Bombyx mori: one gene and its partners. The protein of the gene in region 1 interacts with the protein of each later gene in a pairwise test. Links are inferred from orthologs where the notes say so. Each region holds a gene or a part of one and is shown in the gene's direction. Other genes may lie near its edges.

What was found.
Region 2: the proteins of Ter94 (region 1) and UBX domain-containing protein 4 interact in binary tests that used the Homo sapiens proteins (3 or more experiments, as listed by UniProt). The link is inferred for Bombyx mori from reciprocal best matches to the Homo sapiens genes VCP and UBXN4.
Region 3: the proteins of Ter94 (region 1) and FAS-associated factor 2 interact in binary tests that used the Homo sapiens proteins (3 or more experiments, as listed by UniProt). The link is inferred for Bombyx mori from reciprocal best matches to the Homo sapiens genes VCP and FAF2.
Region 4: the proteins of Ter94 (region 1) and E3 ubiquitin-protein ligase RNF126 interact in binary tests that used the Homo sapiens proteins (3 or more experiments, as listed by UniProt). The link is inferred for Bombyx mori from reciprocal best matches to the Homo sapiens genes VCP and RNF115.

The regions. Positions count from the first base shown.
Region 1 is NC_085125.1:11,198,832-11,202,217, reverse strand, and holds part of Ter94 (transitional endoplasmic reticulum ATPase TER94), read left to right. Parts: intron 1-138; coding exon 139-266; intron 267-1,499; coding exon 1,500-1,665; intron 1,666-2,282; coding exon 2,283-2,452; intron 2,453-2,899; coding exon 2,900-3,037; intron 3,038-3,386. UniProt on the Homo sapiens protein: Necessary for the fragmentation of Golgi stacks during mitosis and for their reassembly after mitosis. Involved in the formation of the transitional endoplasmic reticulum (tER).
Region 2 is NC_085108.1:1,315,468-1,319,985, reverse strand, and holds part of UBX domain-containing protein 4, read left to right. Parts: intron 1-327; coding exon 328-453; intron 454-1,234; coding exon 1,235-1,267; intron 1,268-2,439; coding exon 2,440-2,627; intron 2,628-2,911; coding exon 2,912-3,028; intron 3,029-3,399; coding exon 3,400-3,495; intron 3,496-4,274; coding exon 4,275-4,425; intron 4,426-4,518. UniProt on the Homo sapiens protein: Involved in endoplasmic reticulum-associated protein degradation (ERAD). Acts as a platform to recruit both UBQLN1 and VCP to the ER during ERAD.
Region 3 is NC_085109.1:7,645,240-7,649,757, forward strand, and holds part of FAS-associated factor 2, read left to right. Parts: intron 1-1,008; coding exon 1,009-1,146; intron 1,147-1,601; coding exon 1,602-1,760; 3' UTR 1,761-4,518. UniProt on the Homo sapiens protein: Plays an important role in endoplasmic reticulum-associated degradation (ERAD) that mediates ubiquitin-dependent degradation of misfolded endoplasmic reticulum proteins.
Region 4 is NC_085127.1:1,843,442-1,846,965, forward strand, and holds the end of E3 ubiquitin-protein ligase RNF126, read left to right. Parts: intron 1-224; coding exon 225-500; intron 501-952; coding exon 953-1,107; 3' UTR 1,108-2,482; downstream 2,483-3,524. UniProt on the Homo sapiens protein: E3 ubiquitin-protein ligase that catalyzes the 'Lys-48'- and/or 'Lys-63'-linked polyubiquitination of various substrates and thereby plays a role in a number of signaling pathways including autophagy, innate immunity, cell proliferation and cell death.

The DNA.
Region 1 (3,386 bases):
GTAGTCAACGTCGTATCATTTAGGTCACGACGACTCTGCATGCCAAAATTGCATAATTTAATTTTTTTCATACATTATTATGTAACTGGTTTAATTTGTAGAAATCATTACAAGTATTGTTTTATTATTATCAATCAGGTAAAACTTTGCTGGCAAAGGCCATCGCCAACGAGTGTCAGGCTAACTTTATATCAGTGAAGGGACCAGAGCTGCTCACCATGTGGTTCGGCGAGTCCGAGGCGAACGTACGCGACATCTTCGACAAGGTGCGTCCTAATTGTTAAATCATTTGTCTTGTTACATTTAGACTGGGTATATTTGAAATATTCTATAAAACAAAGATGGAGGAGAATGCATTTGAAAAATATTCAATTTGGAGGAAGGCGTGTGTTTTCGCTTTACATTACGGCTTCACGTAATATACATTGCAATAATAATACTCACTTACTAAATCTATATATATAAACATGAATTGCTGTTGGATTGTCTCGCTAAAACTCGAGAACGGCTGGACGGATTTTGCTAATTTTGGTCTTGTGTTATTTGTGGAAGTCCAGAGAAGGTTTAAAAGGTAGATAAATATGAAAATGCTCAGAATTAAATAAAAAAAAATCTTGTTTTTACTTGATGTGACCCCCGTCAGACGGATTCCATTTGTTTGTTTTAAGTTTATTTTATACAAAAGTTTAGGTATTTTATTTATCGATTGAGGAACTACGAAGTCTGCCGGGCAGCTAGTGAGTATATAAAAGTTAAGGCTACTACCGCTGGAATGCTAATAATCAATTGTAATTTAAATGTCTACATCTGTAGTGTGCAGTTGTTTGGAAATTAGGAAAATGAAATTTTAGCCCTCATATCTGCATGTATGAAGCCTTGGCATTGCTCATCACAAGGAGAGCCGTGGGCTTATTGATCCATTTATATTTACTTTGAAAAAAAAACTGAAACATAATAAATTATTGTTTCCTGTAATCATCATTTTAAACAGAACACAAACCCATTTTACAATTCTTTTTTTCTCCTACTTACGCCGAAAGTTCGGTTTTCCCCCCGCTGTACAGGGAACAAAGTGTAACTTTTCCTCCCTGGGTACTGACAAGTGCGCATGCGCGTTAGTGTCTACGTCTGCTCTCACGCACCTAAAATTCTCCGCCATAGTTGTGCTCGGGTAATTTGCAATATTGTGTTTAGTGTAAAAGTGACACAAACAAAAGGCAATCAAATTGAATAGTGAAGTATTAAACAAAGATGAGTTCATCAGACAGTTCTTATTCAATTAGTAGTAGTTTATTTAAAAATTAAAAAACAGTTAAATGGTTTTTTTTATGAGTATCCTCGGTACTCTACGATCTTTCGGCCTGGTAGGCGAAAAAATAGTATGTGCACCGCGGGAAAAAAGTAGGACATCTTATCCACGCAGGAGGAAATGTCTTCCTTTTCTCCCTTGGTGCACAATGTACTATAGTACATAATATAATGTTTGTGTCCCCGGTCAGGCTCGATCGGCATCTCCGTGCGTGTTGTTCTTCGACGAGCTGGACTCCATCGCCAAGTCGCGCGGCGGCTCCGTGTCGGACGCGGGCGGGGCGGCGGACCGCGTCATCAACCAGATCCTCACCGAGATGGACGGCATGGGCGCCAAGAAGAACGTCTTCATCATCGGTCACTACATTATACTACCTAAAGAAATTGCCATTAAATGACCACTGCTAATTGACAAGTCACTATCTATACTAATATATAAATCTACAGTGGTTTTACCCTCAGACAGCCCACTGAGTTTCTCGCCGAATCTTCTCAGTGGGTCGCGTTTCCGATCCGGTGGTAGATTCTGCGAAGCACGGGTCTTGCTAGGGTTCGTGTTAGCAACGTCATCAGGTTTTAGCCCCGTGAGCTCACCTACTAATTAAGGTTACGCTGATACAGCCTCTCAAGACTATCAGCTTAAGTAGGGGGGAAAAAAAACGGGTTTTTACAGTGGTTTTTACGGATGTTCCGTTATAACTATTGAACCCTGCATCCGATTGACTTGAAACTTGATATCCATGTAGAAAATACACGTACTTAATGGATAGACCAATATTTATATGAGTGTTGGACTCCCTAATAATAATGACAATAAATAATAATGTTAATTTTAAATGCGCAGCGAAGTAGGCTAGTTCTTTTTTAAACCAAATCGTAAACATGCAGATGATGAATCGATTACAATGATAATTTTATAAAATAATTATAGTGAATTGAATCAGGAGAAACTAAATGAATCATTTGTGATGAAGGTGCCACAAACAGACCGGACATCATCGACCCGGCCATCCTGCGTCCCGGCCGTCTGGACCAGCTCATCTACATCCCGCTGCCGGACGAGAAGTCCCGCGAGGCCATCCTGCGCGCCAACCTTCGCAAATCGCCTATCGCTAAGGACGTTGACTTGTCTTACATCGCCAAGGTAGATTCCACTTCTTAATATATTTTTTGTATTCATAGAAAGATGGCTACTTTTTGCAAGTATATTTTATAGTATAAGTGATAATTGATATACATAACTATAAAACAATATTATTAATAGCAAAATACCTCTATTTTTTTTTATTATTGCTTAGATGGGTGGACGAGCTCACAGCCCACCTGGTGTTAAGTGGCTACTGGAGCCCATAGACATCTACAACGTAAATGCGCCACCCACCTTGAAATATAAGCTCTAAGGTCTCAAGTATAGTTACAACGGCTGCGCCGCCCTTCGAACCGAAATGCATTACTGCTTCACGGCAGAAATAGGCAGGGTGGTGGTACCTACCCGTGGAGACTCGCAAGACGTTCTACCGCCATTTTACTTTTACACGCCATGACTACCACTGCCCTCGGCGGATTCTTTATGATAACGAGAACTGTGCAGGTGACGCAAGGCTTCAGTGGCGCTGACCTGACGGAGATATGCCAGCGAGCCTGCAAGCTGGCCATTCGCCAGGCCATCGAGGCGGAGATCCATCGCGAGAGGAGTCGCCAGCAGCAAGCCGCCGCTGCCGTTATGGACGTTCGTATCTGACCACTACGTCTATATTTTATTTAAAAAAAACGAAGTAAACGAAACCCTATGCTTTTACATTTAAACCAATCTAGTTTCTTACCTTTTGCATGTAATTACATTGAAATAGTTAATAACCGGCTGGGTTTCAATAATATTTAAAATTATTATATACTAGTTTGGCTTTAAAAAACTCATAATCCTATATCCGAAAATGAGTTTACCAACAGAACTGATTTTTTTATAAAATCTCTCTTGAACGGATCTGCTTAGATTAATTTAAACTTGATAGTAATAATGTCTGAAAAAAATTTTTTTTTTAAATGCAACTGGCTTACAGTTCGTGAAGGTTTATTTT
Region 2 (4,518 bases), on another chromosome or scaffold:
GCCATTTTACTAAGATTATATTTCATTCCATATCATCTTATCTCATTTTATTTCTTTTCATTTCATTCCTGTTGATTAAGGTCTCAAATTAATCATCTTCATTTCATTTAATTTATTTCACTATTCACTCACTATCACTATCATTTTTCATAAAATTTATGAATATAAATAAAAATAAGACATGACTTAAAGGTCTTAATTATCAGGTCATAAAATCCCTTTTAAAAAAAAAGTCATTTATGGCACCACTCACACTGCGACGTCAACGGACGTTCACTCAACTTAAGGCTTTGGATCTTCACACGTTCATCCTTAAATCGAATTCAGATCAAATCGTGCCGGTGCCGTCATTATTCTTCATCGGCAGGAATGGTACTCCTCTCGAAGTGGTCTGCGCTGGTGTGGACGCCGACAATCTGTCCGCGAGGATCGATAGGATACTAGCGGAACATCGCAAGTATCATACTAATTAATAGAAATATCATTAAAGACGTATTTAGGAGTAAACAATGAGATTTTTTTTTTATTTGTTGCCTACATGGTGGTCTACTGGTCACCTGGTGTTAAGTGGATACCGGAGCCCATCGACATCTACAACGTAAATGCCGCTACCCACCTTGAGATATGAGTTCTAAAGTCTCAGTATAGTTACAACGTTTGCCCGGCCCTTCAAACCGAAACGCATTACTGCTTTACGACAGAAATAGGCAGAGTGGTACCTACCCGTAATCCATCACTGTTTATGTCGATATTATCGTCAGCGAGCTTAGCGTCAGCGTCAGAGGAACATATGGCTTAGCCCGGTGATGCTGATATGGTCGCTCTAGACCATCAGCTTAGGTAGGAAAAAAAACCATACAGCTACCTAATGGTGAGTGGTTACCGTCGCCCATGGACTTGGCAATGCCAGGGGTAGAGCCAAGCCGCTGCCTACCGCTATACCGATTCAGAAATCTGTCAAATATCTTGCGCGGTATGGTAGCTACCGCCAAATATACCATATCTGTATGTTTATTTTGTGGTAGGATGTGTTGCAAGAGGGTAGGAATAGCCCTGTTTCTGCCGCGAAGCTGTCATGCGTTCCAGTTTGAAGGGTGTGGTAGATGGGTATGCGAAGCCATCGACCTCACGTCTCAAGGTTGGCACTCTTGCTGTGATGTCTAGAAGCTTTATAATATTGACGTAGTATAAAGCCTACGACTGTTTTAAATTCTTTTTTCTCTCTCCTTTACAGGGCAAGAAAATCCGAAGATTAATGATCATTCAGGTATTAAATGATCTAGTATTTTAGAACAGGGGAGGTTGAGATGGTATGGCAGTAACTGTCCGGGTTAAAGTCAGAAGCGATGAGCTAACTGCTCAGATCTTGTTTGGAGAGTCTCCGGTTTACAGAGAACAAGTTAAATAACTTGGCATTCTGATGTTCTGTGTATCTATACTAATATTATAAAGCTGAAGAGTTTGTTTGTTTGTTTGAACGCGCTAATCTCAGGAACTACTGGTCTGAATTGAAAAATTATTTCAGTGTTAGAAAGCCCATTTATTGAGGAAGGCTATATTATAACATCATTAAACCGATACAAGTGGAGCACCAATAAAGAATGTTTCAAAATATTTTCACTTTCTACGTAAATGAAGTGGGAGGGAAAATTTAGCGTTATGCCAAAGTAACTATTCCACGCGAACGAAGTCGCGGGCAAAAGCTAGTTTATTATAAACGAAAATAATGCAAACGTTTTTTGTTCATAAATAATTTTATATATATGTATATAACAAGATAGCATGTGCGTATGTAAATATAATAGTTATATAATATAGTATATATATACTCTGGCGTTACGGCGTCTACCCTACATTTTTGTGATATTTATCAAAACAATGTTTTATGATTAAAAAAAAATAAAAATCAAAACATTGTCTCAATATTACTTAAGTCGTTATCCACGACATATATTAGTAATTAATTAAGTTCCAATAGGTCATTTAATAAGTAGCAAAACAGAAAAATGTGCTAAATTAGTAACTGAATGGTACCCTCGAGAGGGGAAAAGATTAAAAGGACGACCGTTCCAAAGATGGGTAGACGACATAAAAGCCGTTACATGCTCCACGTGGAAGAGGAAATGCCACGACCGGAATTTATGTTAGGATTTGGGGGAGGCAACGGCTTGGCTCTGCCCCTGGCATTGCTGAAGTCCATGGGCGACGGTAACCACTCACCATCAGGTTGGCCGTATGCCCCTCTGCCTACAAAGGCAATAAAAAAAAAGAGGCCTATGCGAAAGCAAAACAATCTTAGCCGATGTCAAATGCAAAGAAAAAAATGAATAGTATGTCCCTAAATATGAAATAAGGTTGCTGATAAAGGCTTCTTTATCTTTATCTTAAGTTTCAATGAATGCCAATGAGGTCAATTCAGTTCCCTCCGTTCCTCCGAAGATGCCTTCATCAAAGTATTAGACGAATATTCGGAGTCTGATAACTACGAGTTAGTCTGCGGCGATGAGATATGCGTGCGCGTGCCCAGGCCTAAGCACGACAAGCCGGGGCCCAGCCGGGACTCTGCCCCCCCAGCGGACGACTCCGCCTCACCGGCGGACGAATCGCCCGAGCCGACGGACAGCGAGGTGCGTGATCTTCTTTCTCCTCGCAGACCACTAGTGTATCGTCAATGTAGAAAACAAACAATAATTTTATTAAAATACGTATAATATTCAAGCATTCGAAATTATATAATGACAATAAAAAACAAATAAACAGGGAATAATTATAGTAATATAAATCACAGTAGTCTGTCTCGCCGGATATTCTCAGTGGGTCGCATTTCCGATCCGGTGGTAGATTATGAGAAGCACGACTCTGTCGAAATTGTCAAGATAAATACACATACAATAATAAGAGATTCTCATAGGCCAACCAGCAGAAACCTTCGGGGATGGAGACCTTGACCGAAATAGAAGACAAGTTGGAACGCACCAAGCTACTGATAGAAGCGAGACGCAGAGAGAAAGAGGAGAAAGAGAAGGAGGTTAGTTTATGCTAACACTATTATACGATTTTTTTGGGCTGGGGGTCAAATCTCCTACGAGGTCCCCGCGCTTTGGGGACTGGTCTGTAGATTTCGGGGACCGTAGGACTCGAGGGATGATTAGGGCCCTACCCCTACTAAAGGACGAGGCGAATCGAAGGTTGTGCAACGTCAATCGTCTAGGTACGGTGACCCGTCAGACGGTACCGCTGGTGTCCCGGAACACCATGCTGGACCAGAACCAGCCTTCCGGTTCCTTTTGACAATCAGATTGCTTCATGGCAGCGCGCCGCACACCCTCAACCCCCTCAACATTCGCCGCGGGAAATGCGCAATTTTTTTTTAAATAATAATGCTTCATCTCTTTCTAGCTCGAAAAGCAGAGGGAGATAGAACGACGCGCCACCGGCAAAGGGGTCACGGAACTCAAGAAGTGGCAAGCGGAACAGGAACTGAAGCAGATACAAGTATGCAATGAGCTTACGGCCCGCTCGACGTGAAGGGGTTACGAGCCCATGGACATCACGTGATAACAAAACGTCGTGTCTTGTGGGAGTCAAATGTTCTTTTTTTCTTTCTTCTGACCTCGAGCTGCCATTTTAACAAAACTAGTGGTCCCGCAGTAGTCGAAATTCGACTATAATTAATTGAAATTATAAGTTTGAACATTATTAAGGTTTTATTGTCAAAGACTATTGTACTTCTATCATCACAGATTTCGCCAAGACTACACTATAGACAAATAATATTGAAGATAAACAATATTAACCTATTCTCTATTTGACCATAGACTTTGAGCAATAACTAAAGTTTGGCAATAAACAAAGAGTATATATATGTGTGTGTGTCAAATACATGGTAGTGTGCGTAATGTTTTCTTTATTGATTTAAGGTATTATTAGCATTACTTAAAAAAATAATAAGCATGCTGCACTCCTTCTCTATATTCTCTATAAGTGTGGAAAATTTCATACTCCTCCGTCTGCGCAATTTTCGTAAAAAGGGATGCAAAGTTTTTGCTTCGCGTATTAATATATAGATATATATATGTCAGTCAGTTACTTCGTTTCGACGTGAACAAACACACGTGCGCATTTATAATATTAATTTGGATCGGTTTCGCTGGCTTGGGGACGAATTTGTCTCAAAACATTCTAGAGTACCTCATAGAAACACTTGGAAGGATTTGGCGGTATTAAAAAAACCGCCATTCGTATTCCCGATGCAATGTCTCGTCTCGTTACAGGAAGAGAGGAAACGGGAGAAGCTTGAAAACGAGCTCGCCCGGCAGCGGATCCTGCAGCAGATAGCGCAGGACCGGGCCGAGAGGCGCGCCCGGGACCTCGCCCCCGCGCCCCCAGACCCCAAGCCCGCGCCCCCCGCGCAACTGCCGGGAAGTAAGTCTTGAACAACTACCGTCGCCCATGTACCTCAGCAATGCCAGGGGCAGAGCCAAGCCGCTGCCTACCGCTTAATACTCTCCGCAAGCC
Region 3 (4,518 bases), on another chromosome or scaffold:
AATACGATAACATTCAGCATGCTAGAAATGGGCAGATGGCACTGTACTACGCCATATCTTTATGTTTTGCGGCAAACGACAACTTTATAAAATCAGTGTAGCAAATTTTAAAAATCGTCATATCGTTTACTTGGCAAATTTGAAGCACGATCTCGTCTTAGATTTTACATAATATCTAAATCACATCATCTTTGCACATAACAATATACTTACTTCCTATTAAAGTATAAATTCTACAAATACATTCACTCAACAATATTTAAATTAAAATGAGCCAAGAACGTTTATCGATAAAACCTACTAACATTAAAATCTTCTGGGCAGCACTAAAACCGCCATGTTTTGTGGCCAGATGACGTCACAGCGGCACGAATTTTTTGTTGACGTTTCATTTCCATAGGTTTCCTACTTCAGTGGTTAGATTACAAGATATGGCAACACTTGGAGGAAAAGGCGTGCTCAAAGCCTCATCCCAATTTGGAGTCACTCAAGACATCTTTGATTAAGGCAGCCGCCGATATTGACATGGACCTCGTTCGTGCTGAGATAGACGACTGGCCGCGCAGATTGAAGGCCTGTATTCAAAATCACGGAGGTCATTTTGAATAAACTTTAGTGTCATAAGAATCTATGTTTTGTTAAGTTCATTTTGGGATATGAATGGTTACATAATGAATAAACTTGTTTCAATTATTTTACATTAAACATGTGACAGAATTTATGACCTGACTAGGTATATAGATATAAAAATCTGGATGGACAATATAACATAAATCTTGATATCAGAAGCACAAGGATGGATATAATAAATAAATAAATAAATAAATTGTTTAATATAAATTAAAACGTATATTTCCTATTTCTCAGTTTCTTTAGACAACAGATTTTTTTAGATTACATGGACTGGTTTAAATAAATCATATACCATAAATTTTTTACATAGATATATTTAATGCATTAGAGCCTATTACGATAATTTAATGTCGAATGCTGGTGCGGTTTGTTCAGGTGGTGGAGGCTCGTAAAGCGATGGCGTCTCGTCTGCCGTTGGAGCCGTCGGGCGGCGCTGACACCGTGGTGCTTCTGATCCGTCTGCCAGACGGCGAACGTCTCACTCGCAGATTTTCACATTTCCACACCACTCAGGTAAATACATTTTTTGTGTTAACTATTATTAAAAGCCCAGAGAAACTTACATTGTAACAACATTCAGGCTATTGAATAGAAGATACGATATAAAAAATACAGTAGGCGCGCGAGTTCGTGTCAATCCTAAGGAATCCGGTAGTGCTGTGACCTAGTTAATTATGGTAATGTCGATAATAACTACCGATTTAGTCAACAGCTGTCAATTTGGTTTAATGTTACTTAGCATACTATAGTATTATTGTTCGTGACGCATAGATGGTTTACGTGGTCACTGGAAAAGGCTAACAATAACCAAACAAAATTTATTACCTCAAAATATACTGGTACGCCCAAAAATGGAACGTGTGTCGATAATATTAAGGTCTAATATCGAAGCAATGAAAATTAAAAATACTTTCTGCTGCTGTTACAAAAAGAGAATTAAATTATATTAATTTGTGAACACGTTACAGGATCTATACGACTTTGTGTTCAGCCATCCGCAGTCTCCGGAAGAATTCGAGATAACGACAAACTTTCCCAAACGCGTGTTAGCCCGAGGAGCGTCCAACTTGTTGGACGTGGGACTGAAGGATCGAGACGTGTTGTTCGTTAACGATATCAACGCTTGAACACGAATATGTATACATTCTAGTTTTATATAAATTGGTAATAAAGTGTCGTGGTTTGTAAGGAATGCTCTTTTTTTGTAGTAACTTTTTGGGGTCAATGTTTCTTCCTTGTTGTGTAAGAGTGTGGTACCCAAAATCGGTTTTCATACATTTATGACTATTGATATTGTAATCCATGTGATCAGCCGTCGGACAGTTGTTTCTCTCTCGGAATTTTTTGTAGGCGGTGTAAGAGAATTTCTCCCGATGATGAATGTGTTTATGAAATGTGACGATTCTAAAGGGTCTGAAATAGGATTAATGTATTACAAATCAGCTCGGTCTTCTGAAAAACAAAACAGATGTTAATCATTTGCAAAAATAAAAATAAAATAAATTGGCATAGTAAAAATGCTTGATTGCGTTTTACAAATATGTACAACACAATTCAAAATCAGTGATGCTTCGAAAAGGACTTGCTCGAGTACGGTAAGCTTCCACCAGTTGGCGCGTGATGACAAAGTGCGGGCATTGACCCCGACTTTTGTAAGCTTTACATTGCGGATTCGCTTAATGCTTTTCTTTGAGCAAAAATAATAATAAATTAAAACAATACCTAATAATTGTTCTCCATGAATGCTAAGGTGGTTGGTGTTTCGGCGTCGGGAGATTGTTCTCTTACATTAAATTTTTACATGTATTTTATTCGAGTTTACATCTTGAACACGAATCATAGGCAACGTAAAGATGGCGCTATATTAGTATAATAAAAAAAATGAAAAAAATATTTTATACTAGTTGATTTTTGGACCACCCGTAGATATTAAAATTAGAGGACCGATTGCAGATTTTAATAGAAGTGTGATTACAATGCTCATAATATAGGATACTCTTGTTATTGAGGCAATGTATAAAAAACGAGGCTGAAAGCATCAGATAATCATTTAGGCATTATCAAATTTCTCCCTTCATTTGAAAACTTTAAAAATACAGTAAGAAAGGCAAATGAATAAATCCACAAAGAACGAGCAGATGCAACTAGATTTTATAAATGCAGTAGCTTAAGTTATTTAAGCAGCCTGCAAACAAAAATTGAATGTAGCGTATCTAATTCCTATAGTGATGTCTGTTTTTGGGGTTTTTTAAAAGATATTTTAAGTTTTATATTTACATTACATCTTTCCCCGTGTGAATTTTATTGTAGTTAGTTTTTATGTCTCCTAGTAATGTGATATTGAATGTTAAAATTAATTGTCAATGTACATAGATTAAGATGTTTTACGATATGAACCAGCGGTCTTGGCGAATATTAATAAATTGTGTCTCGTTGTATCTCGTTCTCACGTTGTATTTCTTTCGGGAAATCATTTGCACTCTCTGGCTTAAAGGCTTATTACACTTGGCTAAATTTAGTCGACTGAATTCAGTGAAATGTAATAGCATTCAGTAAGCTAGCCTACTAAATTCAGTAGCAAGGATGGTTTCTGACTGACTAAATCATATAGAAGACTAATAAGAAACGCATTTAGGAAGGTGTAATCGCGTTTAGTTACTTAATGATTTCAGTCGTCCCATAGCTCTCCGTGCGTAAGAACGTTTTAGTTTGTTTTTTACTTTCGAATAAAAAGTATTTATTTCTGTCACCTTTATTTAATATGCCAGATATTTATAAATAGCCCGACATTTTTCAGGGATAATTTTTGTCAGCAGGGGTTGGGATATTAAAGAACTAAATTTTAAATCTCCATACGAATTTCCTGTTGCAAGAAATCTTAATGCTACAACCGATCTTTCTTTTGAACTTATACTATCTCGCAGGGTAGTATCCTGCTTTTGAATAAACGGTGTCACAAGGTTTTATTAGGTCAAAGGATCTCGAATCCATTCGTAGATAATTTCTGAAGTCTGCTGGTTCTAAATCACTCATAATGTTCATATTTGCTAACTTTCCGCGCAGCATTAAATATTTCTTTACCCATATTCTTCTTTTTCTTTTTTTTGTTTCAATTGAACCCACAGACCAATTTTTTGTTGTCTAGACAATGCTGGGGCCAACCGCTTACATCCGCTTACGACACGTCCTACTTCGTCGCGTTTAAATTGACAATTGATTCAGTAACTGAATTTAGAAGTGTAATCAGAAGCTTCTAACTTGCTTCTAAATTTGCTTCTGAATTTAGTCGACTAAATTTAGCCAAGTGTAATAAGCCTTTTAAAAAATATCGTTTACAAACACACAGATCGGGTCTCTCGAAGAAGGCCGACTAAAACAGTTGCATTTTTAATATCGGATAGACTAATCTTATTTAGCAGTAACCGGAAATTCTCGACTTTGCTGTGAATATCATCGATTTCCTATTCCGAATTTTACGGACATTCACGTGGCCAACAATATTATTTTAGTACTTGACAAAGTTATTGAAATAATAGGATTTGGTCAAAGTGGTATTCGACACCGATATATACTATTTTAATTCGTTTAGTTTTCCGATAATTATTTATTTTTAATAATATACATTTCTAATTTTGTAAAAGATGGATATTAAATTTTTAAATAAGTTTTTGACAATGTTTTTTAAAAATATTGTTCGATTTGCATACCTACTTAGTATTTTTTTTATTACAAATAAATACATGTCTCTGTTTTTTTTAAAAGTATAAAATGTAAATATAGTATAAAAAGGTGGCAGTAAATTATTATGTAGGATACATTTGGTAAATGCTTAAATTAAATGTAGTCATCATACAAAACAAATATAAATATGAAATATGCCTTAAA
Region 4 (3,524 bases), on another chromosome or scaffold:
TACTGAACTGATTATTACCATCATGAATATATGAATATATTTTTATCAATTTACATAATTAAGAGTGAAACTTTTACAATTTTTGTAGTAAGGCATAAAATGTTTTTTACTTAATATTACTTATGATTTAGGAATGAATTAGGATTAATAGCTTTGCCATTTGTAACAACTATCAACAGTGACTAATCAAGATAAGTTAACAAAATATGTAATTCACATTTCAGGCGAGACAGTATCGCGGTTAGAATGTGAGCATCTGTTCCACTCGTCGTGTATCTCCCCGTGGCTGCAGCTACACGCCACCTGTCCCATCTGTCGGCGCTCGCTGCTCCCAGCAGATCCTCCGCCTGCCGATACTGAAGCCATCACCAATACCACAAGCACCACCACAGACACCACAGCCACCGCCACGACCCAGCAACCGCCGCTACCGCCCACGCAACCGCCCACGTCTACGGCCAGTAGTACTCCGTCAATAGCTTCAATCAATGCTCGGTCTGGTGTGTATCATCTTCCTGATTATAATTCGCAACATAAATGTTACGAACATAAAACTATTATGCAAAAACCAAATAGGATTTGCATTAGAAAAAAATAAAAACTATTTACTCTCTAAAAATAAATAAAAACTATTTGCGGTAGGCAGCGGCTTGGCTCTGCCCCTGGCATTGCTGAAGTCCATGGGTGACGGTAACCACTCACCATCAGGTGGGCCGTATGCTCGTCTGCCTACAAGGGCAATAAAAAAAACCTTTTTTAAAACTACAATTTTATACTTATTAACAGAATGGTGATAGAGCATTTTTCATGACAAATCTAAATACTTTAAATAGCTACAAATTTTTGATTACTATTCAGTTTAATTTCAAACATTTGATTATTAAACAATCCCCTATCTATACTTACAATATTCATAGTGTAAAATATTATATAATATATTTGATGGTTCTAGGTTTCGCGGCGGCGCTGCAGCAGATGATGCAGGCGACGGGCGCGCACGTGACGCTCTCGGGCTTCGACTCGGGCTCGTCGGGCTCCGGCTGGCCCGACACCTCGTCGTCGTCGCTCGGCTCGGACCGGTACAACATGGACATCGACTACGACTAACTGCAGGCTCGGCCGTGGCGTCGTTCGTGCCGCAGAAGATATGTATTGTTATGATCGAAAACGACGCGATTGTCACGTGAACTGTCGATGCCGATGCGGCGAACGCGATGAGACGTACTGTGCGCGAGTGTGAGTCGGTGTGAACTAGTCGTTGAGTGCTCATGGTGACGCCGAGCTGATCTCTAGTGTTTGCCGTAGTGGATCCTGTGAATGTTGGGAATCGTGCCTTTCATCTGTGACGTTATTGACACTACTATATGTGTGGCGTAGTGTGGGACAACTCTCGGTGTGAAAATCTCACAGTGCACATAACTAATGAGTTTATAACTTGTGTCGATTTGATACAGGTTTGTTGAAATCGACATTTTGAGGTTTTCCACGTCAGTCAATTGTGATTATCGAAATTGTGTCAATAAAAATGTTATAAATAGAATAGTTAATGAAATTGTTATACTATATTAAATGTAACTAGTTTAATGTAATGTAATAGTTGGGGTTGAATATAACTGACGTGGACTTGTTGTGTTAAGATTGTGTGCTAAATATTTTTTTATGACTGTGACAGATCTAAACGATCTATATCTTGTATAGTGAATTAATGTTAATGTTTTACTGGTGGTAGTGCGTAATGTAAGCCCGCCTGGGCTGATATTACTGATCTGCCTAATTCTGCTGTGAAGCAGTAATGTATTCCGATTTGAAGGTTTGAGAAAGTGTTATGCAGCACAATTGAGAATTAGACCTCATATCTAAAGTTGGTTGGCGGCGTTTACGTTGTAATATCTATGGCTTCTGGTAACCACTTACCATCAGGTGGGTCCTGAGCTTGTCACCCGTGTAAGCTAATAAATAAAAATTGTGAGATTTTCAAGCTGAGCTTAAATTATTGAATTGTTTGTGATTTCGTAAACACGCGTTTCACGTAATAAATAAAATTGTATGTAGAAGAGTCATGGTTCAATTGTTTTTATTTTTAGTAATCTTTTTGTCATGTAAATTATGTAAATATGCATCGTAAGTTAGGGCCTTTAATGCTGAAGTAACATGGATTGTAAATGTATTAAAGAAACGGTTGAAACTTTGACTCTAGTATATAATTTTTGTTTGTGTTTTGTAAAGTATTGTTATTATGGATTGTGTAAAATAAATAAATAAATATTAATACATAAAATTTTAAAATATCTGAACATTAAGCGTTAGCTTTATGAAAATTTTAATGATTATTTTAATTTCTCTAATACATGGTTATGTAAATATTTTATTTTTTGAAATGCGGTTTGAGAACACCATCGTAATGAAGTATTGATGCGTACAAAAAGCAATAATCATATTTGTAATAATAAAATGAAACAAAATACAAAATTTATTAATTGAATTTTGCTGTTTATTATTTAATAACATATACATTAACTGATACCTCAGCTCTGCAGAGTAACAAGTATCTTAAACAGTTAGTTATACAGCAATTAACATAAATATGGGATATTATTCATTATAAGAGAAACTAGACTTTAAAAGAAAGGTTCTACGTTGCGGCTGTCATCAATGAAAAAAAATTAAATGAATGATTTAAAAAGACAATATTTTTGTAAAATTAATATTAAGTGAAATGAAATATTGAAATTAAAATTGAAATACATTGTAACATTGAAATGCACAGATCAAACTACCATGCTATTTAATTTCCTAACTGCGACAAGAACATATTTTTTTGAATTGTCACACTTCAGAACTGAGGCCTATCGATCGATACTATTAATCCAACAATCAAATTACGTATGTGATGTTGTTTGAGTGCTCGCAGTCCGGAGTCTGTCAGCTGCCTATTAACATTGTTTATGGTACTTTAGATACCCTTTCCTTTCCTAATAAGGAAACATTGTACAAAAAAAAATGTTTATGGTACGGGCGATGGTTGTGTTTGAATCTGCCGGCTGGACCGTCTTTCGTGTCAATACCAATAAAGAAGACAGTTTGTCATCTTCCCACCCAGTCTGATCTCCATTGATGATGTTAAAAAACGGCTATAACCACTATCAAAGACTACTTGTTTGATAGCAGTTCGAACAGTGGACTAAAACGTTTAAGAACTCGCACGAGAGACACTTAGATCTGTTACAAAGAGGAATCCTACTTAATTATGTATAAACTTAAAAAAATATTTTAGTATATTATGAATATGTACCCGACATTAGTTCATTCAGTCCGATGTGATTGAAGCGTCCGTTGATAATTGAATAATTATACTATATCATTTTACAATATTACACAGCATTTTATAACATTAGAAGAATTTGCAATCTACTTTTAAAAAAAAAATTTTTTTTTATGGACACTTAATTTCTTTATTGGTCGTCGACCCCTAGACCGTTATTTTCAAATGCATTAGATATTTGGTGCAATTTCCTTAGAGACGC